4 linked regions of the Lepisosteus oculatus genome follow. The protein of the gene in region 2 purifies or fractionates together with the protein of the main gene of each other region. This does not show direct contact. Links are inferred from orthologs where the notes say so. Each region holds a gene or a part of one and is shown on either strand. Other genes may lie near its edges.

Region 1 (7,328 bases), on a different chromosome or scaffold from region 2:
TTTGATGGTGTGCAGAAATTCAGAAGTGCAGCCCGGATCTCTGACCTCTGTTGCAGAGACTGAAATGGCTGTGCCAGGACCCCCAATCAGTCCACCCAAAGCAACACTTTGGTGATATCCCCACAGGTGGTTCCTTTTCCTGGAAAGGGAAAGCACGACATTTGTTTGGGAATTCACTGTGGATAAGATTAAGATCTCTTTATTAGCCATCTGCAATTTCTTGCAAATTCCTGCAAGCATTACTTTCCTTCAAACATGTCTTATGTTTCTCCTTCCTTTTGAATATTTTACAAAACATTACTGGCACAAGCGTCTCATAATTACTTCATTGATTCAGCATTACAAAAGGGAGTGGCGCTGTGCATGTGTGAGCCAGTGCAGATGCTGTGACCTCTGTGCTTTGACAGATGGAGGAGGCGGAGAAGAAGCAGCAGAGAGATAAAGAAGCTGAAGAGCAGAAGAAGAAGGAGAAGATTGAGAAGTGGGAGTTCATGCAGGAGGGCAAGAGCTACCGAGGGAAGGCGAAGGCAGCACAGGTAGACCGTACCATGAGAGCGCGGTTGGTATTTTAAAATGATCAACCAAATCACATAAGCTCCATACACTGTACTGTGTTATCCACCCTGAAAGCAGTCTCAAAACATGTGATGTTGCACATGGATCTCACCTCTTTTCCACAAACACTGTTCTTCCCATGCAGAAACACTGAAATGCACACCTTTATGATAATCTAACTGGCAAAAGCAGAATTAAGGCTGTGCCTGGGGCAGTATAGTTTGTAAGGTAAAGTATGACCCAAATGATGGGAAGATATGGCAAAACAGATGTACAAGGTAAAAACATGGAAAAGCCACAGAGGTACAGTACATACTTACATACTTCAAAAGACAAATGTGCCAGAGCAGCTGAAAGTTGAGTGAAAAGTACCTCCACTTTATTGTTTTGTTTGTGGAATACTGATGACTGTGAAAGAAAAGCGATGATGTTATTAAGTCTGCCGGCAGTTGCATTCCAGGAGTGCTAATGGAAAAGCACAGCTTCTCAATGATTTCCCCATGGAAGAAATCAATGGCAGGATTTTGAAATTGTGCGGTGCACGTTAAACCATCTGGTGGGATCAATGTGGTGTCTTTGCTTTCTTAATAGCAAGAGACAAGTGAGCTCGCTGCAGTTCCCAAGAAGACAAGAGACAAGAAGCCTCTAAGGTCAAATGGTAAGAAGAGCTAATAATAACACTGATCTTTACTTCTACTCCCAATGGACAGCATGCCAGAACAGCAACTGGTCTGTGAACTTAAATTGCCACTATGTGATTCTCCTAATATTATAAAATCCATACCAATAAGTTGAAGATGTACAGGGAATAAGTATTGTGATTAGCTACAAATATCTTTAACATGAAAGTAGTGGAGCAAAGCTGCTCTCTCATCCTGCAGCCAGAGGTGAAATTTTGGAGTTTCTTCATGTATTTGTTGGCCTCAGCACTGTTGGTTAAAATGTGTATGCTTGGCATTTTCCCATTCTTACAAGACAGTATGCATAACAGTCATCTGTCATCCTAAACCCCATCAGGCCTTGACTCCAAGTGCATATCCTAATGTACATAAACCCACAGGAAACCAGGCTGGGAAAAGGGCTCAGCCATGAGTTTTATTGCCGCAGTTTAATATGAAAAGGCAGTTTTCCGTGATAGTAGTGGTGCATCATCTAATGTGCTGACATACACAAGGGTAGAATCACTTTTCCACGCACATTAACCTGCGCAGGACACACAAATAAGTTTCGTGAAGCAAAAAACAAATGCAGATTAAAATGTTAACCTTCTTGTCTGACAACACTGGTTTAACGTTTACCTGAACTACATTGTGTCTTTGCCTCCACAGACTACAACCCCCTGTCAGGAGATGGGGGCTGTGGCTCCTCCTGGAGGGCCTCTCGGAGGAGCGGTGGAGGATGAGGTTAGGGACCCCAGTCAGCGCTGGGGTCTCCCTGTTGCCAGCTGGCACAGTGTGCTGACAAAGACATCGTCTTACTAGGCTTACCAGACCTAGCATGCAATATGACCACTGGAGACAACTGGGATTTCATGAGCAAATGTTTTGGAATGTATGCCCCAGAGGTTATTTTATTTATCTTTCTCCCCTATAAGCCTTAAATACAGGTGTCTATTTTTTTATTTGGAAGGTAGTCTGTCTCACAGTAGCATTGCATGCCGAGTCTGTAAGCTATTAATGAAATCATCTTTTTAAAGAGACTTTCTCATTAAGATGGTAGAAATAGATAAGATGATGCCTTGTATAATCGGCATTGTGAGTGCATTATTTCTAATGTTGCTGAGGTGTAGAGCTTAATTTTTAATACTGTAAGTGCCTATGCAAACTGCCAAATGCAGAACTATATTCTTTCGGAAAGAGCTAAGCAATAAATGTATGTAAATCAAGTACTGTATGAAGTGTTCGTATAAACTTAATAAAAACACTTTAAACTCTCTCTACAAATGTTTATGTAAACAAAAAAATCTGTTCTTTTACATTTACATGTCTGTAGTGTATATAGACTTACAGTAGAATACCGAATTCAAACCTTTCTAGTCCTTCATAAGGACAGCTTGCAAATGAGCAGAGGCGATTTAGCCCGTCTTTGTAACGGACACGGACTGGAATCCGTGTCAGATATTGTAGAAGACCCTATGCGATGCGGTAAGAGCTGGAGAAAACAGGAGGCGTGGTAAAAAGGAACACACAGGGGTTTAATAGTGCACAAAATAATAGTGACAGTCCGTGAGACAGTGTACGGGGAAGACAAAACGGCATCCAAATCCAAACGAGTCCAAGGGCAGGTCAAAGCACAGTCCGAAAGTCCATCAACTGGAAATCCATCCTGGAACGCGACAAAGTTAAAATCCCCGAGAGAGGGGAGCACACAGACGAACGAAACATGGAGGTCCAAGGGTGACGGGGCGAGATCCTCCAGACCCCGGGCTCAGGAAGCGGGAGGTGTCGGGGATGAGGCCTATGCCCTCAGGAGACGGACGTAGGGTTTCCTGGTACTAGGCGGGCCTCACGACATCTTACCCTAATGATGAGCCCCGAGGACTGGAGGAGCTGGTCTTTAAATAATAACGCTAAAAGGGTACACCTGGAGAGCTAAATCACACGAACAATAATGAGAGCAGTGGAGCGCCCTCTAGGGAGGGATGTCGGGCATGACAGTCTTGCTTGCTTGGCTTTGAGTAACCAAATGATCCAAAGATCTCATCCAAGCTCATGCTCTTCTCTGTCTCAATATGGTCGATGCAGCTGTATTGTGAAATGCCACATGTCACTGTATGAAAAAGGAAAAGGAAAGTAAATGAATAAATTAATGATTGTTAAGCAGCTCCTGCTCTCTGTGTCTCCATATTGGTCCACATTCATTGTCAGTCTCCAGCACCAGCTCCTGAAAGCTGTGCAATAATTCATTAAACTCATATAGAGCTTTTGTGGACACTCCACTCAAAGCGCTTTACAGGTAATGGGGTCTCCCCTTCACCACCACCAATGTGCAGCCCCACCTGGATGATGCGACAGCAGCCATAGTGCGCCAGAACACTCACCACACATCAGCTATCAGTGGGGAGGAGACCAGAGTAATGAAGTCAATCATAGATGGGGATTATTAGGAGGCCATGATTGATAAAGGCTATAGGGAGATTTGGCCAGGACACCACAGTAACACCCCTATGGCTTTCTAGAAATGCCCTGGGATTTTTAATGACCAGAGAGAGTCGGGACCTCGGTTTTATGTCTCATTCGAAGGACAGCGTCGTTTGTTATACAGTACACTGTCCATGTCACTACTGGGGCATTAGAACCCACACAAACTGCAGGGTGAGCGGCCCATACTGGCTCCACTAACACCTCTTCCAGCAGCAACCTTAGCTTTCCCAGAAGGTCTCACATCCAGGTACTGGCCAGGCTCACACCTGCATCGTTTCAGTGGGTTACCAGTTGGGAGTTGCACAGTAATAAAGCTGATATAGTGCAGGGATGAGTAGCATCTGTATTTTAATCAGTATGTCTTAATAAACATAATGTTATCATAAATGTTTTATATACTTTTAAAAACAATAAATGATAAAAATATCGTTTTGCATTTTCTGTAGACTCTCTATAATTTAGTATTTTTTTTACTACCCACTACAGGTTTGCGTTCAGGCCCTGGAATATGAGCCCTACCAAAATGGCCTCTCATTTCTCATACGAAACATCCGGGTTGTTTGGGTAGTCCGCTCTAATGTGTTTATCTCTATGGTTCGATGCTGGCTACTGCTGCATGCTGGGAATAAATGCAGAGCCAGTTAGCGGCGTGCTAGGGGAAAGATTTTCTTGAGGGAGCTTTGGTTGTGGTTGTTTAAATTTTATTTGTAACCTTCTTTAAGAACAAAATCTATCTGTTGCTATGGTGAAGTTGTCGGCAGAGTTGATCGAACAGGCGGCTCAGTATACAAACCCTGTTCGCGACAGAGAATTGGACCTTCGAGGTACGTTGCGGGCCGCAGGACGGATAAAGCGGTAAATTTAACAAAGGCCGCGGAAGATATTGAACCGAGTTAAATAATATTTTGTGATTTTGTATATCATCACTTGCAATTTAAAATCCGATGTGTCGAGCACTTAACCTTTCAAGGCGGAACGTTTTGTTTTTAATCGTTTCTTGCGAATTATTTTATCACAAATGTACCGTTTTAAATAAGCGTAATAACTCGTACGTGGCATGAAATAATTTTACTGTTTTTGTGTGAAAACAGTAGAACGTGCACGTGCATTGCAGTAAGGTTTTCTTTTCTAAAATTTTCATTGTTATGCGACAATATTGATAAAAGGCGAGTTCAGAAGTCCTTGACGGGTTTCTGCAGCTATTTTAAATGTAGCCGTGTTCAATACTGGGGTGCTGCTAGGGTCTCAAATCATGTTATATACGAGATATGCAGCTATTGTTTTTTTAGATGCATACAGTTATTAGTTTATACATTTTTCAAGGATGAGGAGTGAGATACATTTATAAGCTAATGATTCAGCGACAAATAACTAGAGTTGAGTCTGAAAAAAACGGTTTTTTTTCCATTCGTTGAAAGGAGACCTTGGCAGATTGGTGCGCCTTGATTGTGGCTGAGATTCTTGTTTTCAGTGGCCGATAAGTACGATTACAGAGATGAACTCTGGTCAGTGTCCATCTTCAGTGTGCAGTCTGATGTTTTTTTACTTGACAGTCCTACCAGGCTAGACATTCTCCTGGTGACACTTTCCTGACTGGCCATGAAGGGTTAAGAGTGGTGGTTAAGTAGCAGTACTAGAGTATTGTGGGTTTTGTCCCCGTTTGTTGTTCTCATCCCAATTTCTCGTGTTCAGGTTATAAAATCCCTGTCCTGGAAAACCTGGGAGCCACATTGGATCAGTTTGACACTATAGATTTCTCTGACAATGAAATCAGGAAGCTAGATGGCTTTCCCTTGCTGAAAAGAATAAAAACGCTGTTGATGAATAACAACAGGATATGGTGAGCATAACTGGAACTGTTATTCATTAATAATTGTACACTGCATAAAGAGTATTTTCCTGTAAATTTGAGTTAATTGGCTTTAATTGCATGGTCCTCATTGTTGGTTTAATCTTGTAAGCTTGTGCTTGTTGTGTTTTCTAGCCGAATCGGTGAAGGTCTTGAACAGTCTCTTCCAAATTTGAGAGAATTAGTCCTCACAAGTAATAACATCCAGGAGCTGGTAAGCTATTTTTTTTGTCTGGCCTTTCTTATTTACACATGCAGAAAGATGTTTTAAGCTGTGGTGTTATGTGTTGACTCACATGCATCCCAGTGTTAATGTGGATTTTCAAGTGTGCCTTTTTAAAAATAAAAAAAACTTCTAAATCTGTTTATTTTTTCCCTAGGGGGATTTGGATCCTCTTGCATCGGTAAAGAGCCTAACCTTACTGAGGTATATATATATTTTTTGGCTTCCTCTAAAATGAATTAACTCTTGTTGTGGTCATACTCTTATCTGAAATTGAAATTCATTGGGAAATTTGGTTTGGTATTAAGTGTAACGGTAAAACTATAATCATTAACAGGGAGCCGAACTAAATGAATAAGGATATGGGTCCTGTCTTCTCTTGTCATTCATCTTAATTAAAACCTTACTTCCTGCAGCAGTACTGCAAATTGTAAAGTAATACAGGAAGGCTCCACAGCCGAAAAGTTGTTTCTTTTCTTCTATTTTCAGCGTGGTATAAATTTCTACTTGTTCCAAGTAATACAAGTCTACAACCTGAAGAGTAAAATACCTTCTGATAGAAAGATTTATGTTCTGTAATATATTGCACGAAGGAATGCTAGTTTTGTTATAGGCGGTGAAACACATGGAGTCCAATTTTTTTAACCCAGGCTGGAATTTTTGCATGTGACAAATGCTTTTCTGTCAGTACCTGTCAAGAGCCCGTCATTCATTGATCTTTCATTTATTTGCTGAATGCTATTAGTGGTCTGTGGAAGCTGAAAGTGATTTTGTCTATGAATGTGGTGTACATGATTTGGCAATAGAGACCGCATTTCCACTCAGTCACTAACTATTGGTTTTGGTTGATTCTTGAGCCTTTGAGCAGATTCTTGTTTTTACTCCAGAGTTGTTGGAGCTCTGGGGTTCTGGATATATATTTTTTTCCAGCCACAATTCGGGTCTTTTTAGTATGGTCATAGAAAATAAATTGACATCTGTGTGATTGTCTTTCGTTTTTCAGTTGGGAAAACAGAAGTCAGACCGCATACCTTAAAGGGAATATTGAGATGGAATTAACATGATAAATATAAAAAACACAGAAATCAGTTTTCTCTACTTTCTCTGTTAGGATGTTTGCTTTTTCCCTGTAGTTCTGTCAGTGTATAAACTCTCATTAGTCATTAAAATGTCAGTACCTTAACATTTGTTTTTGGAGATTTTGCAAATTGTTCTTGTCAAACTCTTTGTTGTTGTAAGGAAATGCTCCACAGTTCCACAGAAAGATACAATATCCTGAACCCAAACTATATTATCGAGAAGGTATTGATTGGTATATCATTCTGTTTAACATGCATCAGCCTGTAAATACAAGTTTTTGGCGTAAAACACAGTTTTCAACCTTTTAATTTCAAATTAATTTGAAATAAAATTGAATTTGGCTTGCTTTTTCCAAAACTTTGTAGTTCACATCTGTAAATTGAATTATCTGTCAACTGTAAACTAACCTCGTACTTATTTTTTCAGCCTTTTAAGGAATCCAGTAACCAACAAAAAACATTACAGGCTGTATGTGATC
Region 2 (7,104 bases):
GGGGGCTCTGCGATCACCCCAATCGTGTCACCCTCCCCCTCAAGGCAGCACCTACTTTTCCCTTTTAAATCTCTGCACACCAAATCCCAGCAATACGTAGCACCCCTCACTACTCATTAAGCCGTTACGCTCTGCTGAGGTCACTAGTATAGTACAGGTACAAGAGTATCGGGGCGCAGGCTTTCAGCGGCCTTGCTGCAGGGCTCCCTGCCAGTCAGAGGTAAAAACTCATTTATAGTTTTTTAACCCAGCCTATAGACTTCACCTTTCATTCAGACTTTTACCATCTGCCCTTTCTCATTTTTCCCCCCACATTACATATTTCTGCTCAGTATTATTTTTTTTCTATTTTACTCTCAAAGGCATCCCAAACACCACTAGCGTCCCAAAATAAATCCTTGGACATTTAAGTTCCAAAATCCGCAAGATGAAATTCTACCTTGCTCAGGCCATGCTAAATGCTGGACTGTTTCTTCACAAAACCCCAAACCAGCATGACACCCAGAACCCATAAATAATTCTAGTAACTCTATTTAGTGCTCATTAAGGGAAATCCACGTAGTGCTGGCAAGCTGTACAGCTCTCTCACCCCCACTGTGCGATGTAGACGGGCTCGATGACCCAGGGGATCTCGTTGACAAAGGAGATGGCCCCAGTGATGTGGTACAACACAGGCACGTCCCGGATCTGCTCCCAGGGCATGGGCATGTTCTCCAGCAGCTTCAGGACAGCATGGGGCATGTACTTCAGGGCGCTGGGCAGCACAGACACGGGACATCAGGGACAAAGCCATTTTATACCTTCCATTACACAAGCAGGCCCCTGTCTAAGGTACCCGAGGTCAATGTGGAATTGAATCCACAAGTAAGAAAAGATTAACAAATGAATAGGATTTCACACCATGCAGAAAATGTCTGATCTTCAAAACCTTTCAAGATCCTCATTACACTTGTGCACATAGTATAGCAATTTTACAATTCCAACACAATATTCCAGTTTATATTCCAAAGGAGTACACACTTCAAGACATACAGATCATTGGGGGGAGGGGGGTAACCTTCAGGGGAATCAGGGTTATGAGCCCCAAAGACAGCACTGCTGGAAAGATGTGCAGCCCCGAGTGTTGCCTTACCCCAGATACACTCTCTTGTCATGGCGGAACTTCCTGTTGGTCATGTCGCCGTGGTCGCGGATGATCTTGCGGACGTGCTCGGGGGGCATGTCCTCCTTCTGGGCGTCCACGAAGCCGAACTTCCTCTTCTCCGCGTAGCGCTTCGCCTGCAGCTGCTGCCATTTCCGAGCTGCGGCAGGGAACACAACGGGGTGTCTTGTCAACCAGCTGCATTTGCACCCCCTTGCGGGACGCCAGGGGCAATATTACTGCTGTTACCAACAGTGCCGTGGGATCTTAAAGAATAACTGATAACTCCTTACACTGCAGTAGAGCTTTACTGGACACGACACTCAAAACGCTTTAAGGGGTAATGGGGATCCCCTCCACCCCCACCAGTGTGCAGCCCCACCTGGATGATGTGACGGCAGCCATAGTGCACCAGTCTGCTCGTCACACACCAGCTCTCAGTGGGGAGGAGACCAGAGTGATGAAGCCAGTTCAGAGATGGGATTAGGAGGCCATGATTGGTAAAGGCCAATGGGAAATTTGGCCAGGACACTGGGGTAACACTGCTACTTTTTCCTAGAAATACCCTGGGATTTTTAATGACCACAGAGAGTTTTAAGTCCCACCCGAAAGAAAGTGCCTTTTTACAGTTTAGTGTCCCCATCACTATACTGGGGCATTAGCACTCACACGGACCACACCCCTACTGGCCCCATTAACACCTCTTCCAGCAGCGACCTTAGCTTTCCCAGGAGGTCTCCCATCCAGGTACTGCCCAGTCCAGTGGGCTGCCAGCTGTGAGTTGCAGGGCAATATGGCTCCTGGCCAATGGAGCAGTACAGATCTCCAGGCACCACAGTGGGGAGGGCTGGCTTGGACATGCTGGGCTTATAGTTAAGAGCACTGGTCCACCACCACCACCACCACTTACAACAGCAGCAGCCCGGTTTTCTCTCAAGGTCTCCAAACCCAACAAAAACAGCACAGATAAACCGCACTCTGCTTGAGAGCTGGCAAGATCGCCCTAACTACTGTCCGACACACGCTGGCTTTTCACGCGTCAGGTTCGAGCGAGAGTGTTTACGTCTGCCGTTCAAGCAGTTGATCCAAACCCTCAACTCAGACACGGCCCTTTTCCGAGCCACACTAACACAGGGTGTCTCCTCCAGTGTCCCCCCTCGCTCACCTTTCTCCTGCAGCTTCTCTTCAGACATGTAGTCCGGCACCTGGCCCGGAGTGGGAATCGTCCCTGGTGCTGCTCGGTACGGAAAAGCAGCAGCAGCCATGGTGACGCCAACCTGAAACCGGGCAAACAACAGCGATGTTAGCTCCTGCTCTCCGTGTGGCGTGTACGCGGCTCGGTGTAACTTCTAAAACGCGCAAAAACGTGTTCACGGGAAATAAACATCGAGCTCCCCCGCCAAAACAGCATATTCTAGATCAACCGAGGCAGTGGCAACACTTACGCCAGGAAGTCGCTGTAATTTGTAAACAGTTCGATCACCGATTGTCTGGATTACAAAATCCATGGGCGATCATATTGCGTACATACCGACATTCGTCTTTATTATGACCCCCACGGGGGAAAAACAAACTACACGAAAAATAAAATCGGATTACACGACAACACGACCAGCTCACAAGTTTGCGCCACAGTCTAGGCCAAATAAAGCGCAGCTCCTGCAACTTTTCCAATCGCTGCAAAACTGCTCTTTCATCACCAGTGTTACCTACCTCAGGTCCACGGCACTTTATTTATATGTAAAATCCGTCCCTATGCAATCTCTAGATCATTCCTTTAAACGATATTTTATTCAAATCCGTCCACAGCTTTCTCCGCTGCTAAACATCCACCAGGCACAATGGCGCAGACTAACGCAGACCGCACGATGCCAAACTACGAAAGTATTCGCGAAGAACACTTACGTTTTTTCCGTAGCTCTTGTGCTGTGTTTGCAATAGAATACCCGATAGCAACCAACGCCAAAAGCGTAAGCGTTAATGCGTGACCTTTTGTACAAAGCCCCGGATGTTTACCCGGAAAATGATTTAGACTACATTTTATTGGCGGGTATAATTATCCAATCAGTGAGGTAGGAGGTGGGCTAGAGAGAATGATAGGAACCATCGAGATTTCAAACAAGGATATACGTCACTATGCAGTTCGTTGAATCGCCATCTTTGTAGAGTGTACGCTTTAGAGCGTATTATTATAGTAAATAAACAGTAAACATTTTCCCAGCATCGTCAATCTCCCTCTCCACCCCAATAATTAAAAGTGTCAATTGTTTTTCCCTACATCTGGAAAAAAAACATTATACAAGAAAAATTAAATTGATTGAAATCATCTGAAGAGGGTGGTGCCCAAATGATAGACATTGATATCATGAATGGTACCCTAACGATAAAATGGTTGCGTTCTTTTATGAATAATAAAGACAGCTTCAGGTTTGCTATTCCTAGGAAAGTAATGGGAAAAATAGGAGGCTTTGACCTCTTGCTGAGATGTGACTTTGACATAAACACGCTCCCAGTCAGACTTTTTGTTTTTCATCAACAAGTACTGTTATATTGGAAATGATCATATAACCATAACTTCACCCCTCATAATGCTGTTATATGGAACAACAGATATATCTGGCAAAAAAAGAGCATATTTTATGAATCCTGGTTAAATAAAGGTATTTGGTCAGTCGTGCATCTATTGGAGAAGGCTAATGGAGAAGTTAATAAATTTTGTGATTTTGTTAAAAATATGACATTTATATGACAATTATAGATGCAATTCCACCAGATGTTCTGACTTTGGTAAAAAAAAAATCCACATTCCATAGTAATATAATTCCCCTACTACCTGAGATCAAAATTGGTACCTACAATATTTTAGAAAAACGTGCAATAATAAATACACCCAGACAATTATGGCAGATAGATTCTACCCTCAAGGAGAAAGTAATTTTTAATTAAAGAGACTATTATTCTCTTATGTCTGCTAGAATCCAGGTGGGGCTGCACACTGGTGGTGGTGGAGGGGATCCCCATTACCTGTAAAGAGCTTTGGGTGGACTGTCCAGAAAAGTGCTATATGAGTGTAAGCAATTATTATTATTATTATTATTATTATTATTATTATTATTATTATTATTATTATTATTATTATTATTATTATAACTGAATACATTAATGTCTCCCCTCGCCACTGAAAACTTAAGACATTCATTTTAAAATAGAACAATTTATATCCCTCTAAGGAATTTCTGAGAAAAAGGTTTAACTTTGATTGTAACACTTGCACCTTTTGTGAATCAGATATTGAAACAACTGAACATATTTTTCCTCATGTCATCAATCAACAGCTTTCTGGCACTCTGTATGTTCTTGGGTAAATAATAGTATATTTGTGCCCATCTAGCCTTTAAGGCTATTGTGCTTGGTGTTTTGAATTCACACAGAGAAGTCTGTATAATGTTAAATGCCATTCTCTTGTTGGCAAAAGTTTACATATGTGCATCTAGAGTTTAAAAAACTTCTATGTGCTTTAAAGAATTTTCTAACTCATTTAAGCTATACTCAAATTCACTGAAAATATTTACAAATATGCTTGATGAGTTGGTTTATAAATATCTTTTACCATATTAATGTATTTCATGTGACCCCTATCGCCACACAACCTCTGTACTATTGGTAAAGTTCTGGGTTTTGTTCTGTTTCATTAATTTGATGCTACCTTTGTTCTGTCATGTTGTGACATCTGTGTGTGTATACCCTTGTTTGTCGTGTTTTCCTTTTGTTGTATATCAAAAAATAAAACAAACAGCACTGGACAGGACCATGGGAAGGGACTGTTCCCTTGAACTCCTGCTGAGGACTGGACACCCGCGGTTTCAGAGCCGGGACAGGGGTAAGGCAGGGACAACAGCAAGAGGCAGGGCTGGGAGAGACTCTTTTAGTGTGCAAATCCAGCCCCAGAATCCACTTGCTCCGATTGAACATGGACAATCAACTTTCCAAGACCTTTTGTAATACGGTAGAGATTGCATGACTTGTAAGTGTATACACATGGTCAGATGTTTATTGTGAAATAAAGTTTGTTGTGTTGGAAAAAAATAAGCAGGAAACATTCCCCACAAAACCAATGGTTTCATGATATTGATTGGTCCGTTCCCTGTGTTTTCCATAAAGGTCTTGTTCCTTATTTGTATTTCAGACAAAGCTAACACTGCAGACAGGGGATGCAACCACATTTAACTTTGTACTAAGAAAATTTTCTTCATGTCTAAAACTACTAACTACTTTCCAAGGTGTTTATTTTTTCAGGCTTTTAAAGTATGAAAAAGAACTGGGGTCTGCAACCCCCCGCAACCTGATTTAAGTGAAGATAATGCAGTACTGCAGTGTATGATAAGCTTTATTAAAAGAAATTCGTAATAACTCAATCACGCAGACCTGCGTATTATATCAATTATACTTACCTACAGTATAGGTATAAATTAATACCTAAAGATAGTTGTTAAAAAATCACTTTAAAACAGGATTAATACGAACACATGTCCCTGCATCTGAGTCTAAAAGTTTTATTGAAAAGTTTGGTCACAGCACATAACAACAATCCAATTTAGTTTTGTTAAAAGAATGACGTGTTACATTAAAAAAAAATATGTTTGCATCTTTAAAAAAAATCAGATTCATTCAAATGACATACAAACGCAAACAGAATGAAAGTACTGTATTTAGTAACAATGATGTTGGGGTGTTCAGAAATTGCATACTCTAGGCCAGGGACTTTGGCTGTTAACTTCTACGTTAATGGGCAGCGTGGGCCTCTCTTACAGAGTGCTGTTTATAATGAGCTTTGCTTCGCTGGCTGGCTCATTCATTGTTAACAGTGTGGTGATTCACACAACACTCAGACCCAGAAGTGAGAACGGCCCACTTGTCACCTGTGCAACCCAGGCCTTAAACAATGCAGTCATCGGGCTCCAGTGCCCCCTGCTGACTGCAGGCACCACTTAAGAAGTCAAACGATTATGCGCTGTGGATTTCTAGTTTAGATAAAGCCCCCCCCCACCCCCACTTTGGAACAGTGTGACCTGACAATGTGTGAGAAAGACTAAGGTACTGTGAGATACCGTAAAGTCACAGTCTGTAACTTCCACACCAGCCTGTCTCTAGCTGTGTGGAAAACTGTGGAGTGTAGTCCTGCAGAGTGAAATCATGGTAAACACCTAAAGAAGTATACTGTAGCAGTGGGACACAAGTCATGGGAAATGATAAGAAAGCTTAACACATGCATGATCAAACTACGTCATTATTGTAAAAATCTGAAGTTTCTGTGGGCATCATACATAAGCAATGAAGAGTAGATGTGGCTAGAGAATAATATACTACAGTCTTCATTGAGGAGCACAGACTTGTGTTATATATGAGCACAGACTTGGGGCTACTTAAATAATGTGTACTCAGGCACAAGGTCTCACTGGTCCAGTAGTCCCACACCAGAGCCTGGCAGCATTCAATATCACTCTTACGTCTCTGCACTGGGTGCCTATAAGGCCATGTACTCAATATCAGATCCTGTTACTGACTTTAAAGGCTCTAAATAATCGTGCTCATACACCTCTGAACACCTTCGTGTTTACACTCCCTCCCGTAGGCTCCGTTCAGTTAAGGCTGGTCTTTTGCTCACTCAGGACTAAATCTCAGACTTTTGGTGCTTCTTCTGTCGCTGTTCACTGTTATAGAGACAAATTCTTTGTGTGTCTTCAAATACAATCACAAAACACACATTTTGGGGTCTTTGACTGAATGCCCCACGGTGTGTCCTGTATGTTATTATTTAATAATTTTTCTTTTACTTTTTTACTCATATCTGGCCTCCCACTGAAGCTCAGCAGGTGTAAGCCTGGTCAGTACCTGGATGGGAGACCTCCTGGGAAAAACTAAAGTTGGAAGAGGTGTTAGTGGGGCCAGTAGGGGGCGCTCAC
Region 3 (7,176 bases), on a different chromosome or scaffold from region 2:
GCAGACAAGGGTGGGAATGACAATCCTAGAGCGCACGTTTCACGTTTTCCTTCAGCTGAAGGAAAGCTCATTCATTTCAGCTGAAAAAAACAGATGAGGGGAGTTCTGCCACAGAAAGTGCCGCAGGGTTGATACAATTACAAACCCCAACAACATTTCTGAGAACTGGTGGAAAGCGCACCAGAAAACGGAAGACAGAGGGCTCCCCCAGAATCAGGATTGGGAATCGCTGTGTTAGGAAATGTGTCCCTGTACTTCAGACTCATGTTGCAGAGAGTTACCTGGCAATACCCTTGACTGCTGTCATTGGCAAGTCTCCGCCAGTGGCAATCCTGACCACTCTCCGTCCCGCCCACTGCAGCGTTCTCAGATGTGGTCTTAACTCTCTGTCACCTGCAGTTCCAATCCATGGCTGTGGTAATTGCTAATTTGTAAAATAACATCCTCCTTGCACAGTCACTGTTACCAGGCAGCAGGTTCCCATACAGGAAGTCAGCTTAGTGTTGCCACACAGTTTGCAACAGAGGTTGTGTTCCCGTAAATTCTTGCTCCCAGAAAAAGCCTTTGCTTCTTATTTTCTTTGGAAGCTCAAAGATTTGAATACAGAGAGAATTGAAGTGTAAACAAAAAAAATAAAGTGACTCCCCTTCCCCCAAGTAGTTTTCAAAAATGATTGGTGTCATTTATTTGGAGCACTTATGAACTGGATTGAGAAATTTTGAAATGTATCTTGTGCTTCAGGAAATGAGAGAGATGATTTCACAGCCGGAATGGCAGACCTTACAAACAAAAACTTTTTTAAAATCTCTTAATCATTTTTAAATTTAGAAATGTCCTTCATGGCCAAGAACCTCTAGCCACGTCTGCTTAAACTACTCAGTTTATTCAAATTCAAAAAGATTTTGATCAATTCAGGACTGGGCAAACAGCTGACAAAGCACATTTACAGTACATTTAGTTGTTTTTGTTGACGTGTCATTTTATCTTCCAAGCAATATGGAATAAAAAATGGGAACAAAATGTTAGGATATGTAGAGAAAAGTGGGGAATGTAAATAAAGTGTGTTAGAGTAAAATTAAACAATGCACTAGAAAGACCTTGTTTAAAATATTTTGCAGACATTTGTTCACACTGCTGCTCTGGAATCAGTTCAGATACAAGCAACCAGATATACTCCTGGCCAACAAATTCAGCCTGCTAATGAGATCAGAATCCAAGTCATTGATATCAATTAGAAAAAGCAGTGGTCCCAGTTCATATCCATGAGGGACTCACCTAATGACATCACCCCAAATTGAGCGTTTACCCCTATCTTATGTTATTGCTGTGGTGATTTTTTTCATTTTAATTCTAGTTTCCTTATTAAGACTGAAGCTGTTGTTTGGGAGGGTTTCAGTTTTTGTCACTCAGCCCCACAGGGCTCTCTGTTCCAGACTCAGATGGACGGCAGCCAGAGTTTGTCCAGGAAAACTCACAATTCACATGAAATATATGGCCACAAAACAAGTTGTTATTCCCCTTGGGACTCATTCACAAACCTTTCTAATGCTATGAGTAGAAGTGTCATCAGGCAAGGGATGCCCGGTGAAACGCCACACCCACAAACCATGAAAATCCGAAAAACGTTAAATTGTAGCCTATCTGCCTTTGTAGTGCCGCGGGGCCCCACAAGCCTGTCTGCACTCACAATACTTAGTTCCCCAAACATCTCTCTACTCCCCACCATGCTCCACTCCTGTCAGCCATGGTGACACCAAACTGCAGGGTTTCAGTTCCTGCTCCACGTCTCCTAACCCCTCTTCAAAATCCTGTCGCTGGTCCACCACTACGCCAGAGGAGAAATACTTCTCCCAACAGTGACAATTTAAAGGTGCTCAGACCCTCGTCAGCACACAAGTTTTTGGATTCAGAGAAGAGCTACAGTTCAATAAAGGTTTGAATAAACTACTGTATGTAGACCACATAATTGCAGTTTTTATTCTGATACTGGAATATTACAGAGGTATCATCTATGTGGTATTGCTATAAGGTATCACTGTCTAATTTTAAAAGAAAGAAAAAGAAAAATAAGTCCCGACAAAGGACACATAAAAAAAACACCGTTATAATAAAAAATCCCAAGGAACATGTCTTACAGTGTTCTCTCTCAGCACATGTCTCTATCTGTGACTTTCCAAAACAAATTCCAGCAGCACAACTCTCATGAACCAGCTCTGTCCTTTAACAAGAAAGGAAACTCCATTTAGGATGTCCTCTTTAATGACCCCTTTAACCTCTTCTGCTAGGTTGCTGTGGGATTCTGCCTCTATCCTCTCACAGAGCCCGTAAAAAGCACATGCTTGTCTGTCCCATTTGATAGTGAGTAGCTAATTGATTCAAGGATCTCGTTCAGGAATGTCTTAAAAAAAAACAGGGCATTTACTTCAACAACATGGCCCCTTTATGTAAATAAATGCCTCCTTTTCCAGTTTTTCATGTGATTTGCACTTGAATCACCCAGTTTAAGTTTCACTGTTTATTCTGAAGAATTACTCTGAAATAGTTCACTGGGCTTACTTTTGTTCATGGGTCTGATTAAACAATTATGAGGTTTTTGAAACTCCCTGTTGTTTAGGAATATAAATATTTATCAGTCCTTCTTGAAAGAAGCCAGTTTCATACTCCCACAATCCTTTGCCTCTTGTTCTTGGTATAAAATTCCGCATAGTTCCCACATGTGTCCTCTGGTTGGGTTTCACTGTTTATTCCGAGGATATTCAGTGGGTTGCAGCTGCCTTCATGTAATGAGAATGCTGTTGTCCCATGAGCAGCATGAGGATGTGTGTTGTGGTGCTGGAATATTGTGTCGTCAGTGAAGGATGACCCTGCAGTGGTGAGCTAGCTGCATTCCTAGGTTCATGACAGTTTTCAACAGCTCTCAATTGCATTTGAAAACGTTTGGCGATGCGGTGGCCAGGCATCGAACCTTTGCTCACCACTATACCACCAACACACGCAGTGGTGAGCTACAGAAGTCATCATGGAGGTATCTCCTCCTCCTCCCGTCTTGCCTGGGCAAGAGCTCCTCTGGACACAGACCAACATGGCAGCCTGCTGGACTGCCCACCCCTTAACTTCTCATGGTTTTTACACCACTCTGTGCTGATGCCACCAGTCAGTGATCCAGAGGACATGAATGCACTGCAGGAGAGCACAGACGGGCCTCTTCACCCACGCAGACCAAGGGTGAATATACAAACACCACGCAGATCGCTCCCCAGGAATTTAAACCCAGGGCTGCAGTGCAGAGTGGGAGAATTGCTCACCACTGCACCGTCGCCTCTTCGAATTCTTAATTCTGTAAAATAACTCTTCTGTTCTTTGTAATTTTACTCACACTGTTCCAAGTCAAGCCCTAGAAGTTTTCATTAGTAACATGAAAACGGTGTTAAGCATTTTCTCTTTTTCTTTGTGATGATGTAACTGCCACTTAGACCATTTAATCGTGTTCTCAGTAGTAATCAGGGAGCCGCTATTTAATCCTTAAAGGGGCTGAGTAGACAAAATCCAAAAGAACATGAACAACCTGCAACCAAACAAAGTATTTTTTTTGTTAACAAGCTAATAAACTCCAACATATATAGTTCATATAATGTAACGCATACGGCCTCCATTGCTTGCGAGAGTTGGCTTACCAGAGTGGTGACGTCACCGCCCTTCCCAGTGGATAGCAGGGACCGCAGCTGCTGGGCTGAGGGGAGATCTCTCTTTAGCTCACCAGGCTGGGTCCCTGTTGAGTGATGCCGGAGGCCCGGGTTTGAGTCCCTGATGGTGGGGGACCGACCTGAGGCAGAAGCGGTGAGGGTGCCTACGTGAACCCTGTAGTGTTACAATAATAAGATGTTAATAAGTTAACACTCTTTTGCAATACTACAATCTTTTTCTGCCCGTTAATATTTTGCTTGACAGGTTCACCTATTTTATCTAATTACAGTATTTATTACTGGATGAATTCTGACATATAAAGTTCCACATAGAATTATTTTATGTTTTTAATTTCATGGATATGAAAAAATCGACAAATTAAATAACAGTAAACTTGTATAAAAGTATTTTTGAACAGGCAGTACAGTGGCCGCCATTATCTTCTTACGTAATTTACTCCGCGCAGGGTCCTTCCTCTCTGCTTGTCGCAGCGGGTGAGGGCGCAAGTGAAACGCATTGAGAGCAACTCGCACCGGATTGAAGAAACATTGGCGAAAATAAAGGCAGTACTGTCTTAAACAACGTGTATACGAAGGTGAGTTTACAGTTATTTTAAATAATTCTGTAGTAAGACCAAGTCAACGTCTCGCGTTTAACACAAATGTTGAGGGAAAGCGGCAAATCATTATCGATTGATAGTTTTCAGACATTTGAATGAACATATAATAAACGCATTTTCATCTAAAGTTTGTTAATGATGCACACGTCGTCCAGGCAAATGGAGTTACTGAAATAGTTCCCGAGTAGCATCAGATTTTTAAAATTGGTTCCCAAATTAGCCACGTCCAGTACCAAACCTGTTTAGGATCAGCTTTACAGACATTCAACTGGGGGCTCAATTCTTTTGCACATTTAACTTTTTTTCTTGGTCTATATGTTAAAGTGCAAAAATAAAAGGATAATAGTTGACTATCCCTACAGTCAAGCTTGAGTTCTGGTGTGAAGTCAGACAAGAAATGCTCTGGTAATAGAAAATAAAGAAGGTGGAATGTCCGTGTTTAGGATGAAGGTTGTTTATACTTGTAGCTTTATTTGCAGCAGTTCAGTAAACCTGGAGCTGAAAAGCAGGAATGACCCATTCTGTCGTACCTTTCATACCGTTGTGGGACGCAGTTTGGTTAGACGTGACTGAAATTCCAGAGAAAGCAGAATCATAATACACGGGCCAGACCTTTACAGCAACTGCAGACGGCCCTGGTGTTCTGAGACACCCCAAATCCGTAGGAAACTGGCGAAAAAATAAACGAGTAAAAAATCATCGCTTTAATTGCCGCGGTTTAGAGAGTGGTTCCATTTGTGAATTTTATGGGTGATTTCAAACACCCCATGCAGGTTGGGGTTTCGTTGAAAATAGTTCAGAGTTCTGGGATTAAGAATAGTAATTATTGCTATAAATCAGATTTGATGCGATGATATTGTGAATTAAGCAAACAACTATATTCCAAGTGCAGATATAATGCAGAGAAATGGACTTGGTTTTTTGTTGACTTTTCCACACGTGAATTTGGCTATGAAGTAGAACCAGGGCAGTGTGTTTCTGAGCCCACTTAGGGCTTTTGATTGATTTTTTCCTCCCACAGATTGTTCCAGCATGGAGACCGACCTGTATGACGAGTTTGGGAACTACATCGGCCCAGAGCTGGACTCCGATGATGACGATGACTTGGACAGGGACGAGCGAGATGCGGAGGAGGTAACAGGCTAGTTGCTGCTGCTGCTCCTGCTCTGCTCTGTGCCCGGAGGAGATGGAGGGGTGTGGGCGGTTGAGCAGAGCCACAGTGCGTGGGACGCCCCTGTGTTTTTTCCTGGTGTCCGGCGGCGTGGGTTCTCCGCTGCGCTCAGCTTGTCCGTCTGCCCGCTCAGGCCGACGAGGACGACGACGAGGAGCCGGCCGACCCCGACGAGGAGACCCCCGGGATGGAGGTGGTGCTGCACGAGGACAAGAAGTACTACCCGACGGCGGAGGAGGTGTACGGGCCCGAGGTGGAGACCATCGTCCAGGAGGAGGACACACAGCCGCTCACAGGTCAGGTCCGGCTGGGGTGCTGCGGCTCTGTGTTCGCAGGGGCCTCTCTCGCTCAGCAAGCGTTCCCTTCTGACAGGTTTCCATTGCCGTCTGTTGAAATCGCTTCATATTATTAAAGAATCCAAAATTCGACCATTTCTGATTTCGCTTGTAGGTTGTAAGGTTTTCAGACATACCAAAATAATTTCAGTCCCTGCTTTAAGACGGCAACATTGTTTTTTATTTCCTTTTTCTGCACTACAGCTTGAAAGAGCAGTGTGAGGTGAATTACATCTGGTTTTGCTGTGAGTTGGAATGTAGCTCTTACAGAAATGGGAGAAAGAACACCTGTGAATTTGTGCACAGAGGGGTCCAGGTTAACGTAATTTTGTGACTTGAACGACCTGTCTGAGATTCAGAGATGTATGTTATAACCTTAGATTAATTTGGCTAATGTAAAGCACTTTTATGTCTAGTAATTTAGTCTCCTGTTTTGATTTTCTGCCTCTGAACATTTTTTATTATTGTTAAGCACTCATAAATGAGAATGTCTGTCATTTAATTATGCAGTTTCTTTTTTGAACATTTCTGGAAATGGAGTAATAAAGATGATGTACTTTGTGTGTGTAGGAAAGCATTGATGAACAAGTTACTTGAACTGTGAATTTCCTCTTCTCTCCTTCCCCCTAGAGCCCATCATTAAACCTGTCAGGACAAAGAAGTTCACGCTGATGGAGCAGGAACTGCCCTCCACTGTATATGACATGGAGTGAGTCTCAGATTACACCAGTTTCATTCAGGTCAACAGGCTCTGGTCTTGTGTAATGGCAGTCGATTGAACATGAATGCTTATCGCCCTGAGGAAGTCTAGCCTCTGCTCCAACAGTCTGGCAGCTGATTCCAGACTCCCACCACACTTCGTGTAACGAAGTGTCATATTTTTCACTTGTTCCTGAATCCTCGTTTCACTTCTAAAGTAGTCCTCTGGGTTGACATTGTCATTGCTTGTGAGAGTTTTAAGTCACTCTGTCTGAATTCCCCTTGTAGCTCCGTTGAAGGCTAAACATTTCAGTTCCTTTAAGTAGCCTCATCTTCCTTTCTGCAGGTTTCTAGCCGATCTGATGGACAGTCCAGAGCTGATCCGAAATGTCACACTTTGCGGACACCTGCATCATGGCAAAGTAAGTCTAATGCAGGATTGTTGGTTAGCAGTTTCCCCCCTGACGGACAAGGTCCTCAGGGGAATGCAGTTTACCTGTAACTCTTCAGCATGTTGCTCAGTGATGCGGACTAGAGTCCATCTTTCTGAAGAAAGGATACGTGCTTCTATATGCAGCACTTCAAGTTTGTTTTTCACCTTTGCAGTAGTATAATCAGGTCCTGATTTGAGATTTGGCCGAGGTCCACAGTAGTTCATTGGTTATGCA
Region 4 (7,178 bases), on a different chromosome or scaffold from region 2:
GCAATGGGCACAAGGCAGGGTACACCAGTCAATGACAGGGCACACACAGACACAGACACACACACTCACACCAGGGCCTGTTTTCCCAGAAGCCAATTAACCCGCCAGCGTGTGTTTGGACTGTGGAAGGAATCCTGCACAAACACAACGAAAACTTATAAACTCCACGCAGACAGCACCCCAAGTCCGGAAATTAAACTCAGGGGCTCAGCGTGAGGCAACAATGCGGACCACTGTGCCACCATGCCACCCTACAGTACTACTCATTTCACTGAAGCTTTTAGCTAAATCAGCCTACATTTTCACCAATTTACAGAGCTGGATATATTACTGGAATGATTTTGGTGATGTACTTTGGTCACGGGTACAACAGCAGCATGCTCACCTGGGATTTGAACCCACAACCTTCCTTATACAAATCTGGAATAGGAGCCCATAATCTGGTGCTTTGAAATGGTTAACTGAGTCTTTTACACAGACAGAAACAGGTTTTTTTTTCAGCTGTTTCTGCCTTATCTGTGCTATAACTCAGCAGCCGGTAAAAGAAGGCCCTGGCACGTCACCCATCGAGTGTACACGACCTTGGAGGTCAGACAGGAGACCAGACAGATAGACAGATGAATGAAGGTTGTTAGGTGGAGGAAGAGACAGATAATAAGTCAGACAGGTACTGAGGTGCCAAGCCATGTAGAGCCTTATAGGTGAGCATGAGGATTTTGAAGTCAACTAGAAAGCTGACAGGAAGCCAGTGCGAGGGTTCCAGGACAGGAGTAATGTGATCACTTGCAAGCCACCTGGTCAGGATTCTGGCCGCTGAGTTCTGAACATATTGGAGTTTTTTCAGTGTGGATTGAGATACCCCAGCTGGTAGGATTGAAGGATTTCTTTAGGACGCAGACTCTAAATGAGAACAGCAGTCTTTAACATGTACTCAGGAGACGTGCCCAAGCCCCTGAGGAGCCCATAGACAGAACCAGGGGGGTGGACTATCTCCTGAGAGCTGCAAGCGCGAGAAGCATGCTGCAGAGAAGCTATTAGTTCTAATTAAGATTCCTTGTTAAAGGTGCTAGGGATCAGGAAGGGGTAGATGGGGGGGCTGATTTAATTAGAAACTGGGAGGTGACCTGTTTATCTAATTACCACGGGCCTTGTGTCTACCATTTGTTTCATACCTAGCTGTTTGTGGGGGGTCGATGGAAGTGTGTTATCTGGGGACAGGAGGGAGAGAGGGAGACAGTTTCGTCTGTCTGTCACAAAGGGGAGCAAATACTACCTGCTCGGTCATGTGCTGGGGTGTGGAAGGAGTGTCTTTTTTCTGTGTCTGTTATAGTGGTAGTTGGGTGTTTTTAATGTGTACCCCTGTCCCTTCCTTTGTCCTGTGCCCAGTCTCCTCTCCTCCAAACTGTCTCTCCTCTTCTCCTCCAGACTGTCTCTCCTCCAGTCTCTCTTCCTCACCTACAGTCTCTCCTCCTCTCCTCCAGTCTCTTCTCCTCTCCTCCAAACTGTCTCTCCTCTTCTCCTCCAAACTCTCTCCTCCTCTCCTCCAGTCTCTCCTCCTCACCTTTAGTCTCTCCTCCTCTCCTCCAAACTGTCTCTCCTTCGGTCTCTCCTCCTCTCCTCCAGTCTCTCCTCCTCTCCTCCAAACTGTTTCTCCTTCAGTCTCTCCTCTTCTCCTCCAGTCTCTCCTCCAGTCTCTTCTCCTCTCCTCCAGTCTCTCCCCGAGTCTCTGCTCCTCTGAGAATTAAGGGGGGATCGGGACAGTCCCTGTGAATAATGACAATAAAACCACAAGCCACCTTTGAAGTATATTTGTCCAGTTTTCAGAATGTGAATGACAGCAGTGTGTGTGTGCACTGAAGGATTGTGCATGAGGGTTTCTATGCTGGAGTTCTTCCATGCTGGAGTAATTGCGTAATAAAGAGCTGCGTAGTGTTACAGATCCATGTTTCTCGGACTTACTCGTTCCTGAATGACATTAACATTCAGCTCATGCCTCCTGTGCCCCTACCCTCCCTGCCCAGAGCCGACTCCATTACATTCAGCTGCACTGCTGCTAATACCAACCCTTGTTCCCCAATTAGCACATCTGAATAGCATCCAGACACACAGAGGTGAGGAAAGCCTGCTTAATACATTGTTGGTATTCAAGATAGACACCTCATTTACGGCCATGGGCCTTTTTTAATTTATTTTTATGTCTTTGCCTTTTCTTGATGAGATTTTCTGATTTCATCCATTAAAAAGACAGGAGGCGGCTCATATTACCCTGTTCCGGTCCTGAGGCACTGGGTTTAGACGAGTGACATTCAGCATTAAAGTTCTGCTAACTACTTAACATCGTAAGAAGGTTACAAATGACAGAAGGCGTTTCAGACCCATCTGGTTCATTTTCTGGCTAGTAGGTAATTGACCTGAGGATCTCCTCTCATCTTAAAGGAGCACAGGGAACTTACTTCCAGCACATGGCCAGGCAGGTTGTTCCAGACACCCTCCATTCTTTGTGTAAAGAACCACCTGTCGTTCTGAGTTGCTGTCTAGGTGTCACTGGTGTCCTTACCCTTCTGTTTCACTGATACTCAAGAAGACCGCAGAGTTGACTTTGTCAGGGCCTTTAAGGGTGTTGAATACCCCAGTTCCCCTCATAGTCTCTCTGTCTAAGACTAAAAATAGTCAGTTTTTTTGGCCCGTCAGAGCAGAACATTCCTTTGAGTCCAACAGTATGAATACCATCAGGCTCTGGAGATCTGCTTATCTTAGCTGCATCTAAAACCTATTATACTTCTGGCTCTTCAACGCTATAATGTTTTCATACAGGCTTGGTAAATCCTTTGGTAACACAAACGTTTAATAAATTAACCACTTCTATTTAATAGTCTAAAAGTGTTCATTTATTATCTGTTCAAAATAATATTTAATGAAATGCTACCAGTACCTGACTGCAGTAACAACTAAATGGCGAAAGCTCCACCTTGTGGCCAATCCTGCAACCTTCAATATTATATTTTTTTCCAACATTTTTTCAATTATTTTTAATTATAATTTTTTTATACCGTGCCTTTTGATCCAGGGCATTCTCAAGGCACCGCCTTCTTTTATTCTCCCAGATGGGAAATTTGCTTTGCAGGCAGCTCTGACCCCCAGCTTCTCTCCCTGTCTGTGTCTGTGTGTCTCAGGGAGAGCAAGCTGGGGTCTGCGAAAAGACCAATTCCCAATACAAGAAATTGTATATGGCCAATAAAGTGATCTTATCTTATGAGAGGCATAACCCAGTACACGATACATTTAACACAACATGAACCCATTTACACATAAAAAAACATATGAACAGTACGATAAAACTGTGTATTTTTCCATGATACATTGAGTGATACATTTAGCGCCTTGAGAAGCCACCTTTAAAGGCGCTATATAAAATAAAGTTTATTATTATTATTGAAAAAATTAGAGTGGGAGTTAAAGGCCACTGAAAACATAGTAGTTTGAATGTGAGTTTCTTTTCTTCTCAGCATGGAATAAACCCTGATTTGTTCCTGTGTAGAATTATTATGATCATATCTGGGCTGGCATGCAGGCACAGCGGTTTGCATTGCTGCCTTGCAGCGCTGGGGCCCTGGGTTCAATTCCTGAACCCATGTTGAGTCTGCATGTTCTCCCACAGTCCAAAGACATGCTGGTTAATTGGCTTCTGGGAAGACTGGTGTGGGTGTGGGTGTGAGTGTGTGTGTCAGTGTGTGCCCTGTGGTGGACTGGTGTCGTACCTTGCACCGGTTGCCTGCCAGCTGGATGGGCCTCGGCTCCCCTGCAACTCTACAGTGATGAAGTGGATTGAAAATGGATGTGTGGAATACAGCTGCAGATACGGTATATTGCCTTCTAATTCACTTAGAGGTTACTTGCAGTAGACTGTAATTAATGTACTGCTGAACGTGATAAATAGATTTGATCCTGATTACAATGGTTTAATTATCACTGTTCTGGCTTTGTAATTATATTGATAATACCTGTGTACTACAGTACGATACCCATATGATTAGAGGGCTTAAATAATGTCCTTGTAAGATGACGACACATGTAGAGAGTCTTCTGGGAATTGTTGTCCATAACTCCGTAGCTTCCTATAGGACTCTCGCCTAGAACACTACAGCTCCCAGAATTCATTGTTCGAAGCAGGCGCATTTCCGCTTTCGCAGAACATGGCGGCTTGGTAGAAACGAAGTGAGTTCGGTGATCAGAGAGGATTGGAATATTTGAGAAGGTAAGGGTATCTGTTTTATCAACTTCTCCGGCTACTGGGTTACTATTAATAGCCTGTAACCCAAATCATGGAAAATATACTAATTTATTTTTTAGAAATACTGTTTAGACGTAGAGCCCCGTTTCGTTGTGTTTCCATTTTGTTTTGCAGACGTGCTGTGTTCGCATTAGAATTGAGTGAATCCGCCGTGTTTTACTTCAGAATTAGACGAAGACTGTCGTTGTTTCATGTTTACATGCAGGTCTGCGTTTGTACAACTCGCCATCGAGCTTTGACACTATTGCTTTTTAATTTTTAAATCCACGGTGTCGTAAAGTTTTTTACTGTAAGTCCCGAACTGTGACTCGGTATCAGTCTGACTTTCTGGAGGGCCCTGGAGGGTGTGTGCTCCATTTCCTTTTTCTTTTCGAGCAGCGACACTTATTGTTTTCTTACACAGGCAAAAATCAGGTGTTACACGAGGGCTTTTACAGCTAATAACTGAGAACAGTTCATTAAAGGGCCATTTATTTATAAATAAAACTTCAGATGCAAGTTCCAGGTTAGAGCTACGTGAAAATCACGTGGAAGTGCATTTTAAACCGAGAACAGGAGGCATTGCTGTACACAAATAGTGGTGGGGGTGGGCATGCTGTTGGAGCCGATACCCTGGCTTCTTTCAAGAAACTGCTGGATGGGAAACTCAGATTAATGACCTCCTGAGCGGCTGCGGTGCCTCTCCTCTTGTTTGTAATGATCTTACAGGTCTTGGCCTGGTGCAGTTCAACAATCCGGTCAGCTGTGTAACAGAGAGTCCCGGCTGGGTTTAGACACCTCTGCTCCAGACATGTCTGCGGGCCGTCTGGTGCTCTGTGACTTTAATCGCAGGCTGTTTCAGTGTGAGGCATGAACACAGAGGACCACCCGGTCGTGGACCGCAACAACATTGATTTATCCAGCAACACCCTCCCTTCCACTATAAGCCCTGTGTCTCGTCAGTGGCTAAGCGCCTGTGATGGCCACTGCTGTCCAGCACAAGACAGCGGGCTCTGCAGGAGCGGATCGACTCCCCTGCTCTGGACTGCGGCCGGGTTCTCCTTTGGCTAATGGGGGTGGGGGGAGTCAGCTCCCCCCACTGAGTGAGTCCTCTGATCCCGAACTCAGGGGAGCTGGAGGCGCCCCTCTTCCCCCAACTCTGACTGTGCCCAGCCTGCCTGAAAGCCACTTCCGACGGCCAGTAGGAAACACACTGGGATCTCTGATTTAACTGGCCTGCAGAGCAGAGGCCAGTTACAGGCCTGACGGGTGGAAGCAGCCCATCCCTGAAAGGATCTCCTCTAGGGTCCCACCCCTTCTCCACCATGGGGGCTCAGATCGGGGTCCCCTCCACCATCACTGAGGGCTGGTTGGGGACCCCTTGAGCTGCCCGCAGTGCCTGATGCACCTGTGTGTTCATTGCCCCCAGCCCGACCCAGCTGACAGATGGCCGGAGATTCCTCGGACAAGAAGGAGGGAGAGTCCTCGGGGCCGAAGGACAGGGAGAAGAAACGCAGCCGATCTCGCTCCCGGGAGCGCGACCGGGACCGCAAGGCCTCGCCGGCCAAGGAGCGCAAGCGCCACCGCTCCCGGGACCGGAAGAGATCCCGGAGCCGCTCCAAATCCGCGGACAGGTGGGCGGGCTGCTTTTATTCTGAACTCGTCAGGATCGCCAGTCGATCACAGGTGTGATCTGTAAGGGGACTGGCTCTACCTGAGCATGTTCACAAATGCACGTTCACTTATCCAGATAGGGTATTTTACTGTTCTGATATTCATTTTCAGAAGGTTTTAGACTTTTCTTTTCACTTGGCTAATGTGGGTTACTGTGTGTAAATAAAAATGAAGCAAGCCTAATTTAATTTGTTTTTATTTTCAGAAAAGGTACAAATTCTGACAGGGGGTGGTGACTTTCTATTCCCACTGTAACTCTCTCTCGGACATGGAAACAGATTTTCTTCCTCAGGCCTCTGAGCTTTTTAAAGGTGGACAGAACCGTATCGACACATTTCAATAAAGGAACAACAGGTGGAACCAGCAGGAACAAGTAATAGGTTTATACCATGGTGAAAAGTCTTTTTCTGACACCTGATGAAGGCTCCACGGCCGAAATGTGTTTTCTTTCTTCTCTTTTCAGCGTGGGATAAACCTATTACTTGTTCCTTTGCAGCCTGCGCATTTCAATAAATCTTTTATTCAGGTCTTCTGTTGAATGTGCCTTAACGTACTACTTTATCTGTCGTATGGTTAAATCTGAGCTACAAATGGCAACAGGTTGGAGGAAATAGTGAAGCTCAGGAGCAATTCAACGTGCTCTACAAGCAGGGGGCTCTCAGGAAGACTTGCAGCAGTGTGGGGGTGTGACCTCCCCCCTGTCTTCCCTCTGTGCCCCCAGGTGTAACAGTGTGAAGTGTAGGAAAGCGCTTATCCTCGCAGCAGTTTAGTTTCTGAATAATGTCAACGAATTGTTTAGAGAAGTTGTGTTCCTTGTGATTTGTGTGAGGCACGGTAAGATTCTGCTGTTGGAAGATGCAGTTTTTGCACGCTGTGTGGCGGCAGGTGTCTTGTGTTCTCTGGCACCAGCGCCCTGAGCTGCGATGTTTCTGTTGCAGCAGACTGCTCTCTACCGCGCCACTTCACTGATTCCCATTCCCTCCTGTTCCCAGGATCCGGGATTTCTGCCGGCCTCAGTGCTCAGTCCAAGAGCATGCTTCAGCCTCAGTTTTCACTCCACCTCTGCTGTGTTTGTTGCCTTGGCATTTGTGCTTCTCTCCTGGATTTGCCTCGCCTGGTTTTTGTCTGGGCTGCTTGCCCAGTGTTTGTGTTGCCCAGACTCTGTACTGTGCCTGTCTCAGCTCTGCCTCAGTCACCACAGTCACACGACCTCTCTGTTGGTGATGGTTATGTT

Evidence for each region.
Region 1: the proteins of prpf8 (region 2) and snrpa1 fractionate together in Homo sapiens (co-fractionation; 3 studies listed by BioGRID, with this or other methods). This does not show direct contact. The link is inferred for Lepisosteus oculatus from reciprocal best matches to the Homo sapiens genes PRPF8 and SNRPA1.
Region 3: the proteins of prpf8 (region 2) and eftud2 purify together in Homo sapiens (affinity purification with mass spectrometry; 9 studies listed by BioGRID and IntAct, with this or other methods). This does not show direct contact. The link is inferred for Lepisosteus oculatus from reciprocal best matches to the Homo sapiens genes PRPF8 and EFTUD2.
Region 4: the proteins of prpf8 (region 2) and ddx23 purify together in Homo sapiens (affinity purification with mass spectrometry; 5 studies listed by BioGRID and IntAct, counting the BioPlex papers as one, with this or other methods). This does not show direct contact. The link is inferred for Lepisosteus oculatus from reciprocal best matches to the Homo sapiens genes PRPF8 and DDX23.

The regions. Positions count from the first base shown.
Region 1 is NC_090700.1:49,165,949-49,173,276, reverse strand, and holds the start of snrpa1 (U2 small nuclear ribonucleoprotein A'), read left to right. Parts: upstream 1-4,305; 5' UTR 4,306-4,440; coding exon 4,441-4,522; intron 4,523-5,390; coding exon 5,391-5,538; intron 5,539-5,682; coding exon 5,683-5,761; intron 5,762-5,927; coding exon 5,928-5,974; intron 5,975-7,276; coding exon 7,277-7,328. Other genes in the region: selenoprotein S-like, read left to right, coding at 408-536, 1,147-1,213, 1,884-1,957. UniProt on the Homo sapiens protein: Involved in pre-mRNA splicing as component of the spliceosome. Associated with sn-RNP U2, where it contributes to the binding of stem loop IV of U2 snRNA.
Region 2 is NC_090721.1:8,659,610-8,666,713, reverse strand, and holds the start of prpf8 (pre-mRNA-processing-splicing factor 8), read right to left. Parts: upstream 3,003-7,104; 5' UTR 2,855-3,002; intron 2,419-2,854; 5' UTR 2,407-2,418; coding exon 2,307-2,406; intron 1,302-2,306; coding exon 1,133-1,301; intron 755-1,132; coding exon 590-754; intron 1-589. UniProt on the Homo sapiens protein: Plays a role in pre-mRNA splicing as core component of precatalytic, catalytic and postcatalytic spliceosomal complexes, both of the predominant U2-type spliceosome and the minor U12-type spliceosome.
Region 3 is NC_090723.1:533,223-540,398, forward strand, and holds the start of eftud2 (116 kDa U5 small nuclear ribonucleoprotein component), read left to right. Parts: upstream 1-4,156; 5' UTR 4,157-4,279; intron 4,280-5,324; 5' UTR 5,325-5,335; coding exon 5,336-5,437; intron 5,438-5,607; coding exon 5,608-5,770; intron 5,771-6,439; coding exon 6,440-6,518; intron 6,519-6,854; coding exon 6,855-6,930; intron 6,931-7,176. UniProt on the Homo sapiens protein: Required for pre-mRNA splicing as component of the spliceosome, including pre-catalytic, catalytic and post-catalytic spliceosomal complexes. Component of the U5 snRNP and the U4/U6-U5 tri-snRNP complex, a building block of the spliceosome.
Region 4 is NC_090696.1:21,000,753-21,007,930, forward strand, and holds the start of ddx23 (probable ATP-dependent RNA helicase DDX23), read left to right. Parts: upstream 1-4,156; 5' UTR 4,157-4,255; intron 4,256-5,699; 5' UTR 5,700-5,716; coding exon 5,717-5,904; intron 5,905-7,178. UniProt on the Homo sapiens protein: Involved in pre-mRNA splicing and its phosphorylated form (by SRPK2) is required for spliceosomal B complex formation.